Rattus norvegicus: one gene and its partners. The protein of the gene in region 1 purifies or fractionates together with the protein of each later gene. This does not show direct contact. Links are inferred from orthologs where the notes say so. Each region holds a gene or a part of one and is shown in the gene's direction. Other genes may lie near its edges. The genes, in order: Ap3m1, Ap3s2, Ap3b2 and Rabl6.

The links.
Region 2: the proteins of Ap3m1 (region 1) and Ap3s2 purify together in Homo sapiens (co-immunoprecipitation; 3 studies listed by BioGRID and IntAct, counting the BioPlex papers as one, with this or other methods). This does not show direct contact. The link is inferred for Rattus norvegicus from reciprocal best matches to the Homo sapiens genes AP3M1 and AP3S2.
Region 3: the proteins of Ap3m1 (region 1) and Ap3b2 purify together in Homo sapiens (co-immunoprecipitation; 3 studies listed by BioGRID and IntAct, counting the BioPlex papers as one, with this or other methods). This does not show direct contact. The link is inferred for Rattus norvegicus from reciprocal best matches to the Homo sapiens genes AP3M1 and AP3B2.
Region 4: the proteins of Ap3m1 (region 1) and Rabl6 purify together in Homo sapiens (co-immunoprecipitation; 3 studies listed by BioGRID and IntAct, counting the BioPlex papers as one, with this or other methods). This does not show direct contact. The link is inferred for Rattus norvegicus from reciprocal best matches to the Homo sapiens genes AP3M1 and RABL6.

Annotation. Positions count from the first base shown.
Region 1 is NC_086033.1:3,301,725-3,307,125, forward strand, and holds part of Ap3m1 (AP-3 complex subunit mu-1), read left to right. Parts: intron 1-1,074; coding exon of another isoform or gene 1,075-1,077; coding exon 1,078-1,350; intron 1,351-2,026; coding exon 2,027-2,198; intron 2,199-5,401. UniProt on the Homo sapiens protein: Part of the AP-3 complex, an adaptor-related complex which is not clathrin-associated. The complex is associated with the Golgi region as well as more peripheral structures.
Region 2 is NC_086019.1:143,260,870-143,266,270, reverse strand, and holds part of Ap3s2 (AP-3 complex subunit sigma-2), read left to right. Parts: intron 1-2,259; coding exon 2,260-2,351; intron 2,352-3,066; coding exon 3,067-3,178; intron 3,179-5,401. UniProt on the Homo sapiens protein: Part of the AP-3 complex, an adaptor-related complex which is not clathrin-associated. The complex is associated with the Golgi region as well as more peripheral structures.
Region 3 is NC_086019.1:144,832,761-144,838,161, reverse strand, and holds part of Ap3b2 (AP-3 complex subunit beta-2), read left to right. Parts: coding exon 1-113; intron 114-197; coding exon 198-481; intron 482-632; coding exon 633-687; intron 688-1,051; coding exon 1,052-1,123; intron 1,124-3,227; coding exon 3,228-3,290; intron 3,291-3,607; coding exon 3,608-3,740; intron 3,741-4,074; coding exon 4,075-4,184; intron 4,185-5,230; coding exon 5,231-5,401.
Region 4 is NC_086021.1:28,801,770-28,807,170, reverse strand, and holds part of Rabl6 (rab-like protein 6), read left to right. Parts: intron 1-715; coding exon 716-819; intron 820-1,954; coding exon 1,955-2,283; intron 2,284-2,503; coding exon 2,504-2,654; intron 2,655-3,478; coding exon 3,479-3,688; intron 3,689-3,778; coding exon 3,779-4,046; intron 4,047-4,418; coding exon 4,419-4,590; intron 4,591-5,254; coding exon 5,255-5,313; intron 5,314-5,401. UniProt on the Homo sapiens protein: May enhance cellular proliferation. May reduce growth inhibitory activity of CDKN2A.

The DNA of each region.
Region 1 (5,401 bases):
ACCACATGCCTAGGGCTTATACCACCCACCATGGGCTGGGTCCTCCTATATTTATCATTTATCAAGAAAATGACCAACAGATATGCCCACAGAACAGTCTAATGGAGAGAATTCCTCAATTAGACTTTCTCTTCCAGATTTACCTAGATTGTGTCAAGTTAACAGAACTAACTGGCATATATTGTATATTATACTGATTAACTATCTTGTGTTAAATAAACTTGCATTCTTGGAATTAACTGTATTTTTTAAAAAATAGTTGCTGAATTTAGTTTTCTAGAATTAAGAACTTTTCCATCTGAGTTCTTAAGTAATATTAATCTGCTATTATTTACATTGCCTTTGGTTTTTATGTCAAGGCAATGTGACAATGATATTTTTTCATTTAATATATTTTTATTATATTCTTTCTCCTTCCCCTACCCAGGTCCTTCCCTCCTCCCTACCTTTCCAACTTCATGTTCTCTCCCCTTAAAAATGAAAAGGAAGAAAGAAAATCAAATAAAAAACACAGTAGGACAAAAAAAACAAAACAAAACAAAACAGAATGTGTATACATACATTCACACATACACAGAGTCATCCTTGTGTTAGCCAACTACTCCTGTGGATGGTGCCTACCCTACCCAGTGATACTGTATTGGACAAAAACAATTTTCCCTTTCCTAGCATGTATCAGTTGCAAACACTTCTTGGTTAGGAGTAGGACTTTGTGTCTGCGTCCCTTTCTCTACCCTGGGGTTTTTGTCTAGTTTGAATTTGTGGAGGTCTTTGTGTGGTGTCAGAGTCTATACGAGTTCTTATGTGTATCATCTCTGTTGCGCCTGGAAGATATTGTTTCTTTCCTTGGAGTCTCCACCACTTCTGGTTCTTGGACTCTTCTCTCCTATACACAGTTCCCTGAGTCTTGAGGGGAGGGGTTTGATAGACCTCCTATTTCAGGCTGAGTGCTCCAAAGTAACTCTCTGTGCTTCATCCAGTGGTGAGTCTCTGCATTCACTGCCATCTACTGCAACTGTGCATTTTCAGAGTACAATAAGTATAACCTCCAGCCCCCTTTGTTTTCCTTCACAGAAAATGATCCACAGTCTATTTCTCATCAACTGTTCTGGCGACATATTTCTAGAAAAACACTGGAAGAGCGTTGTAAGCCAATCTGTGTGTGACTATTTCTTTGAAGCTCAGGAGAAAGCTGCTGATGTTGAAAATGTACCACCTGTCATTTCAACACCTCACCACTACCTCATTAGTATCTACCGGGATAAGCTCTTCTTTGTGTCTGTGATACAGACTGAAGTGCCACCTCTCTTTGTAATTGAGTTTCTGCATCGAGTTGCTGACACTTTTCAGGTTTGTATCTGTCAAACTGTTGAAACTAAATCACCCAAGATAGTTCAAGGAGACAGACAGACAGACACACACACACACACACACACACACACACAAACACACACACACTGGTTATTGAAGTTTCTGTGTACTGTCTGACTTCTCTTTGCAACTAAACATATCTCATAAACACGTGCTGAGGGTATACGGTAGCACACATCGCCACTCTACTCATTGTTTTTTATGTGCGGCAAATTATATCATGAGGAGACAGGAGTGCCCTCCAACAAGTATTCTCTGGATCATCACAAAGTTTTTATTGATCATGAGATCCTTTATATTTCTGTTGTCTATTTCCTATTGTTTTGACGAGTAAACCAAATGGCTTAAAGCTCTGTAAGTGTGTGGGTGTGGGTTAATAGGGCAAATGAAGTTTATGCCTCACATTCCAGATTAATGTCTCAGTACTTTCTGGCATGATATAGTAGGAATCAGCTCAGTATAAATACAATAAGAAAATATTGAAGAGAAATGTTAGGACTTCCATAGAGAATTTTTTTCAAGCCTATATATTTCTAGCCTCATTAACCATGAGTTAACCTACTATTAGTTTACTCCAGTAGTTTACAAAGGGGATTAAGAACAGCAAGCCTTCCTCCCTGCCTTCTCTTGTTCAACACCATGACTGTTTTGTTAGGACTACTTTGGTGAGTGTTCAGAGGCTGCAATTAAGGATAATGTGGTCATAGTGTATGAGCTCTTGGAAGAAATGTTAGACAATGGATTCCCACTGGCTACCGAATCTAACATTCTGAAAGAACTGATTAAACCACCAACAATTCTACGTTCTGTCGTCAATTCTATTACAGGTATGAAAAATGAAAACACTGCTAGGAACTGATCCATTGAAACTGTATGAACAGCTCATTTTGCTCATATGACAGACTATTAGGGCAGTCCAGTTTGGCCAAAATTAAAGTTAACAATAATGTTTAAATGAATGTATATCTCTTCTCTCTCTCTCTCTCTCTCTCTCTCTCTCTCTCTCTCTCTCTCTCGGTGTGTAAGTGTGTGTGCACATGAATGCACACATGCCATAGTGTACACATAGAGGTCAGAAGACAGTGAGAGTTGGTTCTCCCCCTCTACCACATGCAATCTGGAGATTGAATCAGGTCCTAAGGCATAGCATCAAATGCCTTTACCCACTGGCCCATCTGGCCAGGCCCCCTTTTCTTTTGGAAGGTGGAGAACAGTAACAGAAACAGATAATATGTCAGGTGCAGCTCACATGTGTAATCATATCACTTGGGAATTGCTAAGTTCAGGGCCAATTTGGTATATAGAATGAGAAATTTGTTTTGTTTTGTTTATTGAAAGAGGCTCAGTCTTGAAGGACAAAGGACTTTTAGGGTTATACAGCTCATTTTCCTGTTGCTGGGTTCAATGCACAATACTTCAGAGAAAGAAAAACTAGTCAGTAGAAAATTAGATCATTAGTAGATGTCATGCATATTGGGCCTTATGCTTTTTTATAAATAAGCTTTCAATTGGGTATAATTCTAGGCCATATCTAGAAATTCAGTATATTCAGTTCATCCTTCGATTAAATCTACAAAAAGCGGGCATGGTGGCACAAGCCTTTAATCCTAGCATTCAGGAGAATTTGAGACCAGCCTAGTCTACAGAGTGAGTTCCAGGCTAGCCAGAGCTACATAATGGGATTCCATGCAAAAGAAAAAAAAGTCTAATAAAGGAAGATTCTTACTGAATGCTATATACCTCTCCAGCCAAATCTCTGGTTGTCCTTTTAACGTTGGGGAATTACACTCTGGGAAAACGGTTTAAATAAGAGCACTGTGGTATTTCATGGACACTGTAGTGAGGCACTGCAGATCTCTCACAGTACGAAGTGTGTTTGGTGGGGGAAACAGTACAAACTCGATAGATACATAGGTAGGTAGGTAGGTAGGTAGGTAGGTAGGTAGGTAGGTAGGTAGACAGACAGACAGAGAGATAAGTAGGTAGACAGACAGGCAAGCAGACAGACAGAGAGAGAGATATTTACAAAGAGAAAAATGCTAAAATGTTCACATTGACTATTTTTAGCTAAGGAGCCAGCCATCCTCATTTTTGCCGTATATGTTTTAAAATATATATTATGAATGTGTGCATGTGCATGGAGGACATTAGGTGTCATGTTCTGTTGCTCTCACCCGAGTTCTTTGTTGAGGAGAAGAGGTCCTCTGAACCTGGAGCTAGGTTGGCTCCCAGCCCTAGCCATGTGCGGCACATAGCCACATCCATCTTTTTATGTGTGTCCGGGGATCTGGCAGGTCCTCATGTCTGTATAGCAAGCACTTTTATCCACTGAGCCATCTCTCCAGCCCATTTCATACTTTTTAACTTTTAAGAAAAAAAATGGATAGGAAAAAATTACTAATGTGTAGTGTAAAACTATAGCATGGGATGATGACATATAAGAGAATTGTTCAGGCTGGATGTGGTGTGCACACCTGTTATCCCAACTACTAGGGCAACTAAAGGAGAGCAGTTGTAAGTTCACGGATACAGAGTCTTGATTATTAAACTAAAACCCTGAGTCTGTTTCCTAGTGCCACACCTATGTACACATACCAAAGAATGGTTCAATAGTTGAAGTAATCTTTCTTGAACTACCAAGTGGCCCTAGCACAGGACCCAGCAGAATCAGTAGAATGTGGAGTAAGATAAGTAAGAGCACTTATGAGGAAAATACACATAAAGTGGGAGGCTGAGCTGTGTCAGCCCCTCGAGCAGAAGTAGAGCTGTTCATAACTGAGCGCTGAAGGACATTCGGAGAAGGTGCAATTGGCCTACGCCTCTTCCCGTCCCAGCAGGACAGGAAGCCAAGATGGGAGAACACTTGTGCTGGGCCTAAAAAAAACATTTAACTTTTATCAGAAAACAAGCAGGGAGCACTAAAGGTTTCTGAACAGGGAAATAATATGATTAAAGCAGTGTTTTTCTAAAACACTTGGAAAGTAACAGGCTGGAGACAGGATCACCAGCAATAAATAGACTAAAACTAATGTTAATCTTGTTAGCTGCACACACTTCTCTAGCATTTGGGGGGCTGATGTGGGAGGATCCCCAGTTCTAAGCCATCCTGGACTATACACATATCTTGTCTTTAAAAACTAATCTAGAGTGGAATGTATTGTGTTGCTGTGTAGTCAAGAATGACTGAATTTGCAATCCTCCTGCCTCCACTTCCTCACAAGTGCTGGGGTTAAAGTACACACTCCACCATTCAATGCTGGACTTAAAACAAAAGGTTTTATGCATTCTAGGCAAACACTCTGCCTGTTACATCTCCAGCCCTGAAACCATATTTTATGTTTGTGAGGTGCTTTTGTGTGTATTTTGTTTTGTCTTTAGAGACAGCTCTCCTAAGCGGCTCAGGCTGGCTTTAAACTAGTGATGCCTTGGCCTCCTAAGTGTTAGAATTACAGGACTGTGCTCCCTGTCTTGTTTCCTGTCCTAATTTTTTATTTATTGCTTTATGAAAACGGGTTTTACCGTGTAGCTGTGCGTGGCCTGGAACTCACTCTGACCAGGCTGGCCTCAGACTTCCTGTTGTTCTCTTACTTTGTCTCTCAAATGCTAGGATTACAAATTCCAGCCCTACACCTGGCTTTACAGCTGTAAGAAAATCATAATTACCAAAATAGAAACACATTGGTAAATGCTACTTATGGGGGGACTATTTAAAGAAACATGCCTAAATGTTAACAGTAGCTGGTGTTAGTAATAGGAAACAGATTTTTGTTGTTGTTTTATAAATTTACTGCTTTTTACTGCTATGCAAATGTGTTACTTCTGAATTAAAATGTAAACTAAACAAAATGTTTAGTAAATCTCAGTGGAAGGGTCTCTGTTGAGATAACCATACATACAGTTTTCCAGGAAGCTAGTCAGATGCTGAACATTAGATAGACTGACTTTAAGAAAGGAGTTGGGCTTTTTGTTTGTTTTGTTTGTTTTCTTCGCTCTGTTTTGTTTCTGCGGTGCTGGGATTGAATACAGAGCC
Region 2 (5,401 bases), on another chromosome or scaffold:
AGTGGACTTTGTGTTTCTGAGCTCACAGAGTTAATCTTTGACAACACCCTAGCAAATGTGAGCTTGCTGTGTTGTTCACATGGAAACCAGGAAGATAGTGATTGATTGGTTCCCATTTGTGGGCCAGTGATTAGCAAGTTTGCATTCATACATTCAGTAGATACTGAGAGGTTTTCAGAACTCACACTGAGGCAGCCACTTCCTCTCAGTGAATCAGTCCCCCTTTTATTTTTTGTGGCCCCCAATAGCTTTTAAGGAACTCTCTCACTGATTAGTCCCCTGTTTTTTGGTGTGCCTCCCTTAATGGCTTTTAAAGAACTGGCCACTTCAAAGCTAAGCTCAGTGGTGTAGAACAAAAGGGATTAAAATTTTTTTAATGTGTCTTTTTGGTTTAAGGAAGATTCAAGGTGAACATTTTTCTTATCCTGTTCAGTCCATAGTATAGTCCCCAGACCTGAAGCACTGCTGTTTGTGGGAGCGTGACAAAACAGACTCTGGTCCCAGCCCAGGCGGATTAAAGCAGAACCACATTTAAACACAATCCCCAGCCAACTCATCACACAGCCTCATGTGGGAAGACTGGCCAGAGGGTTTATATTATTTGTAGATTTATTTATTTTAAATGTATGAGTGTTTCCCTGCATGCATGTGTGTTCCACATGTGTACCTGGTGCCCTTGAAGAGTAGAAGTCAGCATGAATCCCTTGGAAATGGATTTATTGATGGTTGTCAGCCATCACCTGGCTACTGGGAATTGAACCCAAGTCTTCTGTAGGAGCAACAAATCTTAATGGCTGAACCAGTTCTCCAGTTCCTGATTTAGAGGGTTTTGTTGTTGTTTGTTTGTTTTCCAAAACAGGGTTTTTCTTTGTGGCCCTGGCTGATTTGGAACTCACTGTAGAACAAGCCGGCATCGAATTCACAGTAATCCACCTGCCTCTGCCACCCAAGCACTGGGATTAAAGGCATGCACCACTACTTCCCAGGTTCTGATTTAGATATTTTAACTACCTAGTTTCTGTTTGGTTTCTTCCTTATCCTGTCTGTTTTGAGACAGGCTCACTCTGTATCCCTGACTGACCTGGAACTTACTGTGTAGACCAGGCTGGCATTGAACTCACAGATATCCATCCACCTGCTTCTTCAAGTGCTGGTATTAAAGCACTGCCACTTCTTGCTTTCCCACCTCCTTATACAGGGTCTCACCTTCTTCCTGCCTTTACCTACCCAGGTGCTGGGATTACACACATGGTCTACTCAGTGGGTTTCCTTTCTCCTCTCCTCTCTACCCCTCCCCACTCTTCCCTCTTGTTTTGTTGAGATAGCCTGAACTTTACCATATAAACCAGGCTGCCCTTCAACTTAGTGACTGTCCTGTCTTAGGTGGCCTTGCAGGAGTGAACCACCATGCATGGCTTTTAAAAAAAAGTATGCTGTACCTATTATAAAACCCTTACATATAAATGGAAATCAAATGTGATTTAACATGTGATTCATTCACCATTGAGGTTCTCAAGATTACAAGTGACTATTAAATGAAAAGAGTTTATTTGTGGTTTTGTTTAGATGTCCCAAAATCAGATCTATAAATACATTTTCTGTTTTGCCAGTAATCTTTTGTCTGTGAGTAAAGCAACATCTCATATGTAGTACTGGTATTAAGTAAAAGTGACAAATTTATCTTTGAGACATGTGCATGATTACATCTTGACCTTCATACAGTTCTGGAGCTTTGAGACTCGTTACATACCCAGTATTGATTTTATTCAGAGGATTGGGGTCAGATTAAAAAAAAGATTTAAGGATTTTGTGAGATTATGAATTCCAATTCCTTGTTTGACTCTGAGCTTGTCTGTAAGATATAAAGGCTCGTGACTGAAATACCTAGGTAAATAAGCCCACGTTAATCACTGTAACCTTGTTTTCCCCATAGTCACTCTCTGCCTTCTGTGTGCTTTGTGTGCTTATGTATGAGCTTTTCCAGTTGTGCCCCATTTGGAACCCCTTGATTGGTTGATTGATTGATTGATTGTGCATTGGTGTGAGAGTGTCAGATTCCCTGGAACTGGAGTTACAGGCAGTTGTGAGCCTCCATGTGGGTGCTTGGAATTGAACCTGGGTCCTCTGGAAGAGTACCCAGCGCTCTTCATTGCTGATCTCTCTAGCCCAGAATCCCTTCTTTACCTATCTGCTCTTATTGATAGGTGCACGTTTTCCTCATCTGCCCCCTGATTTTTTTTTTTTGTTGTTGTTCCATAGCCAGAAGAAATTCAACAGCAGATTGTTCGAGAGACCTTCCACCTGGTCCTCAAGCGAGATGACAACATCTGTAACTTCTTAGAAGGTGGAAGGTAAACCATCAGCTTCAGGTGGCCGTCTCCCTCCTCCCCCAGCTCCACGTTGGGTGGCCTTGGTTGTTTTCATTTCTTCTAGTACTGCGGGGGTCAATGGTTACCTGATGCAGCATAACCTATTCTTTTGTCTGGTGGGGGCTGGGAGTGAGGGTCCAACACAACCATGTTTCTCTGTATAGTCCAGACTGGCCCTGAACTCAGGTCTGCTCGCCTCATAGTGCTAGGATTACAGGTGTGCACTGCTACACCAGACCCAAGTAACCTGCTCTTAGCATGAGCTGCCCAGGAAGACGCCTGATTCCTGGGAAACACTTGCACTGAGCTTCAGCCATCACTGAGATTTTTTCTTTCTCTTTTTATATAACTTATTTCTAATTTATGTGCATTGGGTGTCAGATCTCCTGGATTTGGAGTTTACAGATAGTTGTGAGCTGCCATGTAGGTGCTGGGAATTGAACCTGAATCCTCCAGAAGAGCAGACAGTGTTCTTAACCTCTGAGCCATCTCTGCAGCCCCTGGTCATCACTCTGTATGGTCACTGGCAGGATAGGCAAGAGAAGGGTGACAATGGAGTAAAGGGGCCTCAAGCTCCCCTTCCACACTCAGTTGCCATCATGTGGAGATGCCCGCTCTTCTTTGTTAGGCCCATTCCCGTTCTTTGATAAGTTTACTTAAGACCTGGGTTCTCAACTGCTACTGCCGTCTCCCACAGTTTGATTGGTGGCTCTGACTACAAACTGATTTACCGGCACTATGCTACCCTCTACTTCGTGTTTTGTGTGGATTCATCAGAGAGTGAACTTGGGATCTTGGACCTCATCCAGGTATGTGAAGTCACAGACTAATGGCAACAACTCTCTGAGTTTGCGTGGGGATGGGGGCATTCAGTAACTGTCCTCTGGGTCTTTTTTTTTTTCAGTCTCATTGATGTCCATAAGAGTTACCAGGGGTTGGAGAGATGGCTCAGCGGTTAAGAGCACTGGCTGCTTTTCTAGAGAGCCTGAGTTCAATTCTCAGCAACCACATGGTGGCTCACAACCATCTATAGTGAGATCTGTTGCTCTTTTCTGGCCTGTAGGCATACATGCATGCAGGCAGAATGCTGTATACATAGTAATCTTTAAAAAAAAAAAAAGTTTCCAGACGTCCACCAGGTGGTGCTCTGGGAAAAGGCCTGAGAACCTTCCGGGACTTCGATTTGAATGGTGGTTCCTACCCAGCCTTCACACTGCCCTCGGTTATTAATATTTTGAATTTTCTTTCCGCTCTGAAACCATATTACATTTATGTATTTATATTTCCTGTGTGCAAGACACTTCCTGTGTGCAAGACTTGTGTTTGTGCAGATACTGTGGAGGCCAGTGGGTGCCTTCCTCACTTGCTCTCCACCTTACTGTCTGAGATAGGGTCTTTCACTGGACCTGGAGCCACTGACCTGCTAGACAGACTAGACTTGCCAGCAGATCCTGGGCATCATCCAGCCTTTGCCAGGATTTGCTGCAGAGGCTTTTTGTTTGGGTTCTGGAAGTTGAAGCTCACGGCCTTTATTTGTGCAGCAAGCACTTTACAGACTGAGCCATCTCCCCAATCTTAAGTATTTTACATTTTAATTTTATTTGCAATGGCGGCCTAAAGCCAGGGCATGGAACATACATAGTGCCTTACTCCCTAGTTTACTTTCATAACCAGTTCCAAGAACTGGGGTCCTCGTAACGAAGAGTCTAAAGGTGCACAGGAAGCAAAAGCAGCTCTTACACAACAGAGTGGAAGCTGACAGGTGAGCACAGTGGTGGTGCAGCCCAGCCCTCAGGAGGCAAGGCAGGAGCATTACGGGGAGTACAGGGCATTATGGGGAGCATGGTGCCCAAGGCAGGGGTATTACGGGGAGCACAGGGGCATTATAGGGAGCCTGGTGCCCAAGGCAGGGGTATTACGGGGAGCACAGGGGCATTACAGGGAGCACGGTGCCCAAGGCAGGGGTATTATGGGGAGCACAGGGGCATTACAGGGAGCACGGTGCCCAAGGCAGGGGTATTATGGGGAGCACAGGGGCATTACAGGGAGCATGGTGCCCAAGGCAGGGGTATTTATGGGGAGCACAGGGGCATTACAGGGAGCACAGTGCCCAAGGCAGGGGTATTATTGGGAGCACAGGGGCATTATGGGGAGCATAGTGCCCAAGGCAGGGGTATTACGGGGAGCACAGGGGCATTATAGGGAGCCTGGTGCCCAAGGCAGGGGTATTACGGGGAGCACAGGGGCATTACAGGGAGCACGGTGCCCAAGGCAGGGGTATTATGGGGAGCACAGGGGCATTACAGGGAGCATGGTGCCCAAGGCAGGGGTATTACGGGGAGCACAGGGGCATTACGGGGAGCACGGTGCCCAAGGCAGGGGTATTATGGGGAGCACAGGGGCATTACAGGGAGCACGGTGCCCAAGGCAGGGGTATTATGGGGAGCACAGGGGCATTACAGGGAGCATGGTGCCCAAGGCAGGGGTATTATGGAGAGCACAGGGGCATTACAGGGAGCACGGTGCCCAAGGCAGGGGTATTATGGAGAGCACAGGGGCATTACAGGGAGCATGGTGCCCAAGGCAGGGGTATTACAGGGAGCACAGGGGCATTATGGGGAGCACAGTGCCCAAGGCAGGGGTATTATAGAGAGCCCTGGTTGCCTTTCGTGAGTTCTCGGTCTTGAAGATGAAAGAGTGTTTAAACAGACTAAGAACAGAACTGCATGGGACAAGACTGCTGGAATTTGAAAGAAAAAACAACAGGACAGACATGCTGGAAACCTCAGGGGCCACCAGATGGGGAAATGGAGAAATCAGAAAATCAGGTACCAGCCCTTGCATAGAAGAGAGCTGGAGACCCCATCTCAAACAAGATAGTGAGGACCAACACCTGAGGTTACCCTCCGACCTCTACATGAAAGTCATGCCTTTTGAGTTAGAGGTCAGGAAAGCATTGCACTTCCTGTTTCTACAAAAACAACTAGACATTTCATAGTTGAAGTATTAAATGGTGACGAAGGACAGTGTTT
Region 3 (5,401 bases), on another chromosome or scaffold:
ACTACCGGAAGCTCTGCAACCTGCTCATCGACGTGGAGGAGTGGGGCCAGGTGGTGATCATCAGCATGCTCACGCGTTATGCACGAACGCAGTTCCTGAGCCCTACGCAGAACGTAAGCGCGAGGCCCCAGCCCTGCAGGGAGGGGCGGGAGGTCATCCAGGGAAGATGTTCACACACTCGGCCGTATCTCTTTCAGGAGTCTTTGTTGGAGGAGAATCCTGAGAAGGCCTTCTATGGCTCTGAGGAGGACGAGGCCAAAGGCCCTGGATCAGAGGAAGCGGCCACTGCGGCGCTGCCTGCTCGGAAGCCCTATGTAATGGATCCAGATCACCGGCTGCTGCTGCGGAACACCAAGCCGCTACTGCAGAGCCGCAGCGCCGCCGTGGTCATGGCGGTGGCACAGCTTTACTTCCACCTGGCGCCCAAGGCAGAGGTGGGCGTCATCGCCAAGGCTCTCGTTCGCCTGCTGCGCAGCCACAGGTGCGGGAAGCCCCGCCCCCTCCGCCGCCAGATCCCGCTTTTCTCCCATCAGCTCCTTCCTCCCAACTCTTTGTCTAGCCCGTCTTCCCCGACCCACCGCCCCTGCCCCCATCCGAGGGGTTCAGAAACCTCTAACTCATCCTCTCCACAGCGAGGTGCAGTACGTAGTGCTCCAGAATGTGGCCACCATGTCCATCAAGCGCAGGGTGAGCATGCATTCAAGGTCTGCTCTGGCTCCTGCGGGCTCTGTGGGAGCTGGTGGGAATTGGGGTGGGACGAGCAGGGTTGTAGGGAAAGATGGGGGAATTACAATTACCCTGTGTGTGCAGGGTCTAGGTTTTTCAAGAGTCCCAAACGCAAACCAGAAGGGTCTAGATTCTGAAGGGGCCACTGGGGGGGGGGCGGTGCCTAAAGAGAAAGTCAGATCTAAGATGGATGGGGAACTTGAGGCAAAGATGACAGCGTTGAGGCTGAAGGGTCGTGGGGTCTGTGGTGGGAGGGGCAGATGTCTCTGGAAGAGGCAGATCTAGGACTGTGGTGGAGAGCCCCAAGAATACTCTCTCTTGCCAGGGAATGTTTGAACCCTACTTGAAGAGCTTCTACATTAGGTCCACGGATCCTACCCAGATCAAGATCCTGAAGGTGAGTGCAAGACTGTGCTTGACTCTGATTCCAGCTAAACTGGTTGAATACTAGCTGGATTAACTGATACTGAACACATTGGCACCTGCCTCTTTGTGGAGCAGCGCACATCTCTAGGCTGAAAGTGTTTGCTCAGGTGGTGGGAAACTACCCCTGGCTTATCAGCCTGACACATGTTTTTCTGGGGATATGCAGCACATGCCTACTAACCCCAGATAGGAAGTCAAAGTACGGATACTACCCAAGTCCAACTTGGGTGAACCAATGAGGGTTTTTTTGGGGGCCGTTACTTATAAGAGTATGGAGTGAGGGGTTACTTACAGGAGCAGAAATCACTCAAAAATGGCTGCATTACCAAGGCCCACCTCAGCATGGAGGACAGCTCAGGAAAGCTGGGAACCTGGAGCACACAGCACAGCCTGCAGGCAGCTCCACAGGTTGTTGCTTCCTCTGGTCTGAGAGTCTTTGCAGCTCAGCTTGGCTGAGAGAGTCTACTTTGCAGCTTAGTTAGAGCTGCCTTTGAGTCTTGGCAGCTCAGCCTCTCTTAATCCGCTTGCTGTGGAAGGGCAGGGCCTAGAGAATCTGATCAGTTTCAGGGACTTCTTGAAGCTGTTGTGAGTTGTTTACCTTCCTGCCCTAGGAGCTTCCAGCAGGGTGGAATGTTTCCGTCTTGGAGGAAACTGTTACACAACTGCCTGCGTGGTATGCACCAGACACTTCCCAGAATAACTTAATTTTCATAATCACCCCCAAAAGTCTGTATCGCTTACATTTTATATTTTAAATTGTAGACTCCAGGAAGTGATGTTACTAGTGTGAAGTCATCATACTCTGCAGTTCTGCCTCTCACATACCTGCCCCTTCAGACTTTCTGGAACACATACACCAACAGGCAGTGTTGAGAGCCTGTGCCTCTGTTCCTTTCCCATTCTATTGCCTTTTTACTGAGTGATGGCATCGAACAGTGACCAACTTTCTCACTTGTTAGCACATCTGCTGCTACTTCTGTTACTAGATCCAGGGACCCAAGGGGTCTGGGGAGAGTCCTTGCTTATATGCACAAGACCTTGGGTTTGATACCAAGCATCCCATGACCAGGATGAGGTAGCACAGGCCTATAATCCTGTCGCTCAGGTGGTGGGAGTAGAAGGATCAGAAATTCAAGATTATTCTTGGCCACATATGGAGTTCAAAGCCAATTTGGACTACTTGAGACACTTGTCTCAAAACAGCAGCAACAAACAGGTGTTAGCATAGGGATTCAAGGTGAAGGAACTGAGTCAGAGATCCTGCTTTTATTGAGCTTGTAGTCTTGTTGGGGGGCAAAAGAGGCAGTAAGCAGTTAATCCCAAGATAAATGGAGAAAACCCATCTGTGAAATATGTCAAGAGCGAAGAGTGCAGAGAAATATAAATAGACATCAGGGCTGGAGCAGTGTCTCAGCTGAAGAGCGCTGGCTGCTCTTCCACAGGACCAGGGTTCCATTCCTAGCCCTCACATGCGGGCTCATGACCACCTGTAACTCCAGTTCCAGAGGATCCAATGCCCTCCTCTGACATCTGCGGGCATTGCATGCACATGGTGCTTAGACAAAACAATACACAGAAAATTAAAAACAATTTTTTTTAAGTTAGAATGGGGCCACCATCATTTGGATCAAGGAAGCGTTCCTTGGGAAGATGGACTCCAAGCTGAGACCTGATAAACGGATGTGAGTTACCTAAGTACAGGGTCAGGAATGGGAAGAACTGCTCCATACAAACGGAACAGCGTTTGCGATTACTCTGAGGCAGGAACGGTCAGGTCATCCAGAGATTCACAGATCATCCTTGGTTTCTGTCCTCAAAGGAATAGTTTTCCGTGGAGGGAGGAGGCAGCGTGACCTTTCTTCACCTGTACTTTGTCAGGGACTTCACTGAGGAGGCAAATTGACCTTCTTGTGTTTTTGAAGACGGTTCATGATCTAGCATTTCCTCGTCATTCTAAGCACGGGCAGAACGGTCCTGAGTATTGCTTCCTAGTCTGTAAAGTTTGTTTGCAATAAAATCCCAGAAAACCTGCTGGCCACACTGGCCACTTTCTGCCCCTCTACCTCTCCTTGCAGCTGGAAGTGCTGACCAACCTGGCCAATGAGACCAACATCCCCACTGTTCTACGGGAATTCCAGGTACAGGCTACGGGCTAACCTCTAGCTCCCAGGCCCCGGAGAGGTGCCCTACAGATCCCTGCATCTAGTGAGAATTTCCCTGCTGGGTCTCATTTTCTGAAAGAGCCCAAAGCTGGAGAAATGTTTCCTTAGACCCCTTTCAGTGCCTTCTGTTGGCTTTAGGCCCTGGATGTGGTTTGGAGACATCACTGTCCCCCAAGGCTTAATGAGTTATCATACGAGGGGGGTTACAGTCTTCGTCTGCTTGAAGGTCACCCTTCAACTCTTCACTGTGTAGTCACTACTTACTAGATGTTACTGTGTCATGATGTCCATAGACCTACATTCGCAGCATGGACAAAGACTTTGTGGCGGCCACGATCCAGGCCATCGGACGATGTGCAACGAACATAGGCCGAGTCCGTGACACCTGCCTCAATGGCTTGGTGCAGCTTCTGTCCAACCGTGATGGTTAGTGTTTGCCTGGAGAAGTGTCCAGTCTTTTTTTTTTTTTTTTTTCGGAACTGGGGGCCGAACCCAGGGCCTTGGGCTTGCTAGGCAAGCGCTCTACCACTGAGCTAAATCCCCAACCCCTAGAAGTGTCCAGTCTTGGTGGTGTCTGTGTGCCTGCATGCCTGACCTTGCTGGCCAGTGGTTATCCCCTTGCGTGTCTAGGTACAATGTGAACCTGTTGGTTTGTCTGCTTCAGTTAGTGTGCAGGTGTTGCTGTAACCGAGGGCTGCCTGAGAACTGGGTGTGGCCATCTGACTGGTCTGGGGCTTGTGTTCTCATTCCCATCCCCTAGAGCTTGTGGTTGCTGAGTCAGTGGTGGTCATTAAGAAGCTGCTGCAAATGCAGCCAGCGCAGCACGGCGAGATCATCAAACACTTGGCAAAACTCACAGACAACATCCAGGTGAGGGAGCAGCCCTGACAGTATCCCCCTGATATTTGTTTTTCCTTTTGGTTTGGTTTATTTTGAGACAGGGTTTCTTTGTGTAGCCCTGACTGTCCTGGCACTCACTCTGTAGACCAGGCTGGTCTTGAACTCACAGAGATCTGTCTGCTTCTGCCTCCTGAGTGCTAGGATTAAAGGAATATACTACTAACACCCAGCCAATGTCCTTTTAAAGATTTATTTTACTTTAAACTCATGGGTGTGTGTGTGTGTGTGTGTGTGTGTGTGTGTGTGTGTGTGTATGTGTGTATGTGTGTGTGTGTGCATGTGTGTGTTGGGGGAGTATGTGCACAGATGTGCCAGTGACTTGTAGAATCCAGTGGTTTCAGATTTCCTGGCTCTAGAGTTGCAGGCAATTGTGCACAGCCCAATGTGGGTGTTAGGAACTGGACTTGGGTCATCTACAAGATCAGCAAGTGCTCTTAGTTTCTGAGCCATCTTTCTAGCTGTGTGCCCATGACTTTAAGAATCTGTAACTCAGTGCTTTAACTTCACCCAGATCAAACTCCAAATGGGCACTGGACCTTCTTCAGGGAGAAGGAGAGAGGTTAGACTGCATGACCACGTTCAAGACTATCCTCATGGGCTCCCTCACAGAGCTCTTTAGCCCTTCCCACCATTCCGTTTTCCCACCAACGCTCTGACTAAGGATGGCTGACTGATTAATCCCTTGTGTTTTTGCTGTGAGGCTGGGTTGAAATATCCCTAATGCCATTACTGGAGATTCAGGCAGACTGACATGGCAGTACAGCAATAAAGTTAGAAAACCGTGGCTAACTTTAGGAACTCTGTTTGGCAGCTCTGTTCATGAAAACGAAACCGTGTGGAGGAGGGGGTGCTGCATATGAAAAGTCCATCTTTTAATCTGTTCTACCCCTCCGCCTCCATCCTCAGGCACCTAAAAGACAATAGGCCAGCATAAGCTGCCATCCCCTTCCCCTGGCGGTTCATCCCAGCCACATCAACATGTTTTCTCTAGTCCTAACGCCTGTCCGTATGCACAGGTACCCATGGCACGGGCCAGCATCCTCTGGCTCATTGGAGAGTACTGTGAGCATGTGCCCAAGATTGCCCCTGATGTTCTGAGAAAAATGGCCAAGTCCTTCACAGCAGAGGAGGACATCGTGAAGCTGCAGGTCATAAACCTGGCAGCCAAGCTGTACCTGACTAACTCA
Region 4 (5,401 bases), on another chromosome or scaffold:
TGTATTTCTTTGTACTTTTTTTTTTTCCGGAGTTGGGGACCAAACCCAGGGCCTTGCTCGCTAGGCAAGCGCTCTACCGCTGAGCTAAATCCCCAACCCCATTTTTTTTTTTTTTTTTTTTTTGTCTGTGTGTACTTTTCAAAGTATAAACAAACCCCAGGTCTCTTGGTCTGCAGTTAACTCCCACTTTTTTCATTTGGTTTGTTTGCTCTGTGCTGAAAGGACCCCAGTGTGAGCCTGGGACAAGCCAGGCAGTGCCTCTTGTCCACCAGGGCCTCTCTAGGAACACAGTCCTGTTCTGTGCTCCTTACACAGCCTAGAAGCCGCTGTATTTTAAGATTAAGTTTTAATGCAATAAGCCATGTTGACTGACAGCCATGGCAGCTGGATCAGCTTTGTTCATCAAACTAGAAATGCATGTTTTACCCAGTTAGTACCTGGTAGAGTTTCTCACCTAAAGTTGCCCCTGAAGCTCCACAGACACCGTAAGCACCTGTTTCCATGCTTCTGTGGCCTGATACGTATTGTAGCCAACAAAAGTGCTAGTGACCAAAGATTCGGAACAGCAGGCGGCACTTCCTGGTGTAGCTCCACGTGGCTTATATCCTCCAAGTCATGAAGCTGACCTTGCAGGCAGCCAGACCTCGGGTCTCTGACAGAGACAGGCTGTAGAATGGGGAAGAGGCATATTCAGCTATGTCCGCTTCCTCTGCAGAGGGAGACATTGCTGAGGCAGCTGGAGACAAACCAACTAGACATCGATGCAACACTAGAGGAGCTGTCCGTGCAGCAGGAGACCGAGGACCAGAACTACAGCATGTACGTGAGCCAGCGTCTATGCCATGTAGGCCCTGACTACATGGAGTGGGAAGGATGGGTCCTACACCCTGTTGCCTCATGTCCACAAATAGGAGCCGGGGCCAAGCTTTGGGCTGTACCTATGAGGCAGTGGAAAAAGCAGCATATACAGTCAGCTTGAGTGTCCTTCAGCCAAGACCTTGGTACTACTCAGTGTAGAACAGTATGGGACGCATCGGACTAACATGGCTCAGCAGCTCCTCTCAGCCTTCTAGGACGTGTCCATGCTGCCCAAAGCTCTTCCTGTTCATCTATTGGGGTTTAGTTATTAATATGAGCTAACTAGTAAAATATTTAGTCAGATCAACATTTGTCTAGAACAAGTAGATTAATATTTTGAACTGAGCTATGCTGACCTGAGGAACAGCCTCAATCTCCCTACATTTCCCTTTCAGTTCTTGTAGAAAGTAAGGGCACATGCTCCTGAAGGTGGGCTGTGTCAGCTCTGGCCCTCTCCACCACCAAGTACTTTGGAGCCTACAGAACCTACAAAGTGCTTAGACCTGTGGTATTGTTCCTATGTGTGGATCAGCACGTGCCTGGATGAGAGCCACTCCTCTTCTCAGGTTGCCATATCTGTCACCATGCACAAAGCTTAAGTGGAGGGTCAAGGACCTCAACATAAAACCAGATACATTGAATCTAATAGAAGAGAAAGTGGGAAAGAGCCTTGAACTCATTGGCACAGGGGAAATTTCCTAAACAGAACTCCAGTGGCTCATGCTCTGACCACCTCGCTAACCATAACCAGTCCCACTTCTTCATCCCTATTGGCCATGTGGGGACTGCCGAGTGCTACTGGCCTGCCCGGATCCCATAGGCATGAGTGGTCCTGAACCTCTGCTGAGCAACTCGGGTCCCCAGGCTGAAGAAGTGCCCGAGTAGAGGGAGAGCATGTCCTTGGGAGCAGCCATGCTAAAGAGACAAGATAGGCAAGGGAGTGGTCTGGGTACCAAAGGCTGGGACAGTGGACTGGCAGAGGACCATGTCCTCTGCCTAATAGTATCAATATAAAAGGCACACTGAGACCTGAAAGCCATGGAGAGAGGGCCAAGAAAAAACTGGTTCCTCACTCCCTGCCCTTTTACCCTCCCAGCTTCCTTGAAATGATGGAGGCTCGAAGTCGAGGCCATGCATCTCCTTTGGCAGCCAACGGGCAGAGCCCATCCTCAGGCTCCCAGTCGCCAGTCGTGCCTCCAAGTGCTGTATCCACAGGGAGTTCCAGCCCCAGCACACCCCAGCCTGCCCCTCAGCTGTCTCTAGGTGTCTCCTCCACCTGTCCCTCAGCACCATCTCCTGCACCCTCTTTGGAGGCCACGCCCTCCTCTGTACACCCTCCAGCCCCAGCTCCAGCCCAGCGCCGCAGTATCATCTCTCGGCTGTTTGGGACCTCACCAGCTGCAGAAGCGACCATTTCACCTCCAGGTAAGCCTGGGAGCAGCTCTTGTGTGTGAATTGGGGCCACCTTCTGACATTTTGAGCCTCCTATTCCTCACCTGAATGTCCCTGTGCCCCTGAAAAGCCACATGGACCAGCCACTCCTTAGCCTGGTTCTAAAATAGCCAAGTCCCAATCCTTCAGGCACAGTTTTGGGGCTTGCCTAGCATGGAGGACCAAATAAGAAGGAAGCAGCATTTCTCTGTAGAGCCAGCTCCAGCCCTAGAGGCTCCAGTGAGAGTCCAGAATGTTGAGGATTTTGTCCCTGAAGATGGCCTTGACCGAAGCTTCCTGGAAGACACAACCGTGCCTAAAGACAAGAAAGTTGGAGCCAAAGGGCCACAGCAGGATAGTGACAGGTAAGGGTAAAAAATTGATAACAGCTCAAGGACCAGCCAACAGAGCTTCCCCATCCCATTCATACCTGGACCTTAGAGACACCATTGGGGTTGTGGACACAGCTCTCTGCTGCTTGCAAGGTTGGCAGTCAGCTCTGAGGACGAAAGCTATGGCTGGAAGAAATGAGGGAAGGGCTTAGATCATCTCAAAGCCCACTCCGGCTGATCACTGCCAGCCGCCCTGGGAATACAGACAAACAGCTTACCCAGGAGTAGGACAGAGTTTATGACCACAGCAAACTACAGCTGAACATTGAGCTGAGTCTTCTAGGATAGCAGGAGCTTTGGCAGATGGCCTACCAGGGACATAGGCCTCTTGAGGCCCCAGTCTATGTTGAGGTATAGCAAAAGTCACCTGGTTCTCCAGACCTTGAGAAACAGGCCCTGGCCAGGTCTGACTTCCTGCAGCTAGCCCTTCTCACAACCCCCTCTCTAAACAACATCTGTCTATAGTTAAGCCTGCGTCTACTCCCTCTAACACATCAAATGTTGAAAGACTATTACTGTCTCCAGCATCACCATTCTGTATGGGACCAAGCTTCCCTTCCAGAAACAAACAAATTAGAGGCTTCTTTCTGGACTCCTCCCACTGATTCCCTCATTGGCCAGCAACAGGCAGTACCTTCCTCACTCTTTAGTCCACCTGTTCTCAGCAGAATGCCCAGAAGCTCTTGCCACTGGAATGTGGTACTACAGACAGGGCAGCTCTAGAGGCAGCGAGTCGGGTGGGTGATCAGCAACACACAGCCCCCTCAGAACTTCTGATGGCCAGTCCTTCTTTGCAGTGATGATGGAGAGGCCCTAGGAGGGAACCCAATGGTGGCAGGTTTCCAGGATGATGTGGACATAGAAGACCAACCACATGGCCAATCCCTGCTGCCCTCAGACCCCATTCCCAGTAAGAACATCAGTCTCTCAAGTGAGGAGGAAGCTGAAGGATTGGCTGGCCACCCCAGAGTGTCTCCTCAGCAGTGCTCAGAGCCTGAGACTAAATGGTATGGGCTGGGATTCCCAGAGTGTGGCCAGCTGAGGTGGTGGCAGCCCAGAGTGGCCTCAGAGCTCCTGACATTTCTTCTTATATGAAGGTCCTCCACCAAGGCCTCACATCCACAAAAGAAGGGAGCCCCCACTCGAGGCATAACACCGTGGTCAGATGGTCTTAGCACTGGCTTGGGGCCCGAACTCAGCAGTACCAAGCCACCCACTGATGGTTCTCAAAGACCCCAGGAAGGGAAGGACAAACAGGTGTCATCAGAGAGCGATCCTGAGGGTCCCATTGCTGCCCAGATGCTGTCATTTGTCATGGATGACCCTGACTTTGAAAGCGATGAGTCGGACACCCAGAAGAGAGTGGTAAGGAGAGGCTGCTGCGTGGGCAGCTCGGGCTCCATCCTTCGAGAGATGGAGGACAGTCAAGGTCTGTTTCCCAGAGGAGGGTCTGAGGAGATGCAGGAGAATGTTCTGGGCTCCAGTTCCCCACTGCACAGCCCTTTCTTATTTACTGTGTGTCTGAAGCCTGATGGAGAAAGTGAATGAGAGTTCATGGGAGGGGGCCCATTGTCTACATGAAGGCACTGCTGGTATTTCTGAATCTGGGTCAGCTTAGCCCCTCCCATCTGGCCCCATCCCTAGCCCCTGGAGTCCGAAGTGGACTTGCCAACCTCTCTTCCCAGATCCCATGTAGTGGTCAGGGGACAATAGGCCTACCAACTGCTCTCTTTCCAGGGCAGGTTCCCAGTAAGAGAAGACCTCTCTGATGTAACTGATGAGGATACTGGCCCTGCTCAGCCACCCCCACCCTCCAAGTTCCCAGTCCCTGCTTTCAGGCTGAAGAATGACTCAGATCTCTTTGGGCTGGGCCTGGAGGAGCTGGGACCCAAGGAAAGCAGTGAGGAAGGTAGGAGGGCCTGGGTTTGCCCCTCTCCTTGGAACCTGTTAGGACTTGGAGGCCTTGTCTGTGGTGCTCCTATGTTTAGAATTTACACTGCCTATGGTTTCTCTTTCGTCATAGTCATTAGCTGTGAGAGGTGAAACTGTCACACCAGCTGGCAAACATGCACCCAAATATGGTCCTGAATAGTCACCTAAGACTGTGACTGTCACACTCTATCCATGGTTCCCTATGGGTCCTCACCTCTCCAAATGTTCTGCCAACATTCCATGCTTTCAGGTGTCCCAAGCCTGTGGGGCAGAACGATTTTAGGAGAAAGGGAGAAAAAAACAAACAGACAGACAAACCCACAGGCTAATAAAGGTTACAACAGGGAAAATTCCTGGGAACCTCAGACCCAGGCTTCCTGGAGAAGTGCTTGGAGCTACAGCCCAGGGACTTGGGCCTACTCAGCCCCAGCAGACAGCTTAGCTTAGGACTGTTACTGTCAGGTTCTCAGCCCCAGAGGGAGGGGAAGAAATTACTCACAGGCTTGATCAAGACTCACCAGCACAAAAATACATAGCTTGCCTGTGGAACCAGGCCCCGTTGAGGATGGGGTCTCTGCAGAGGGCCCCTGCCTGCCTACAAAATGGTAGCAAGTAGGAACTCAGCTGTCTTTCTTGTGCAGATAAAGACAGCAAACTTCCCTCCAAGGAGAAGAAGAAAAAGAAGAAGAAAAGCAAAGAGGTACACACCCTGCCACCATTGACCTTCCAGTCAGCCCAGCTTCCACCCCTGGACGGTGGGCTAACCTTGTGGGGTGCCCACTGACTAC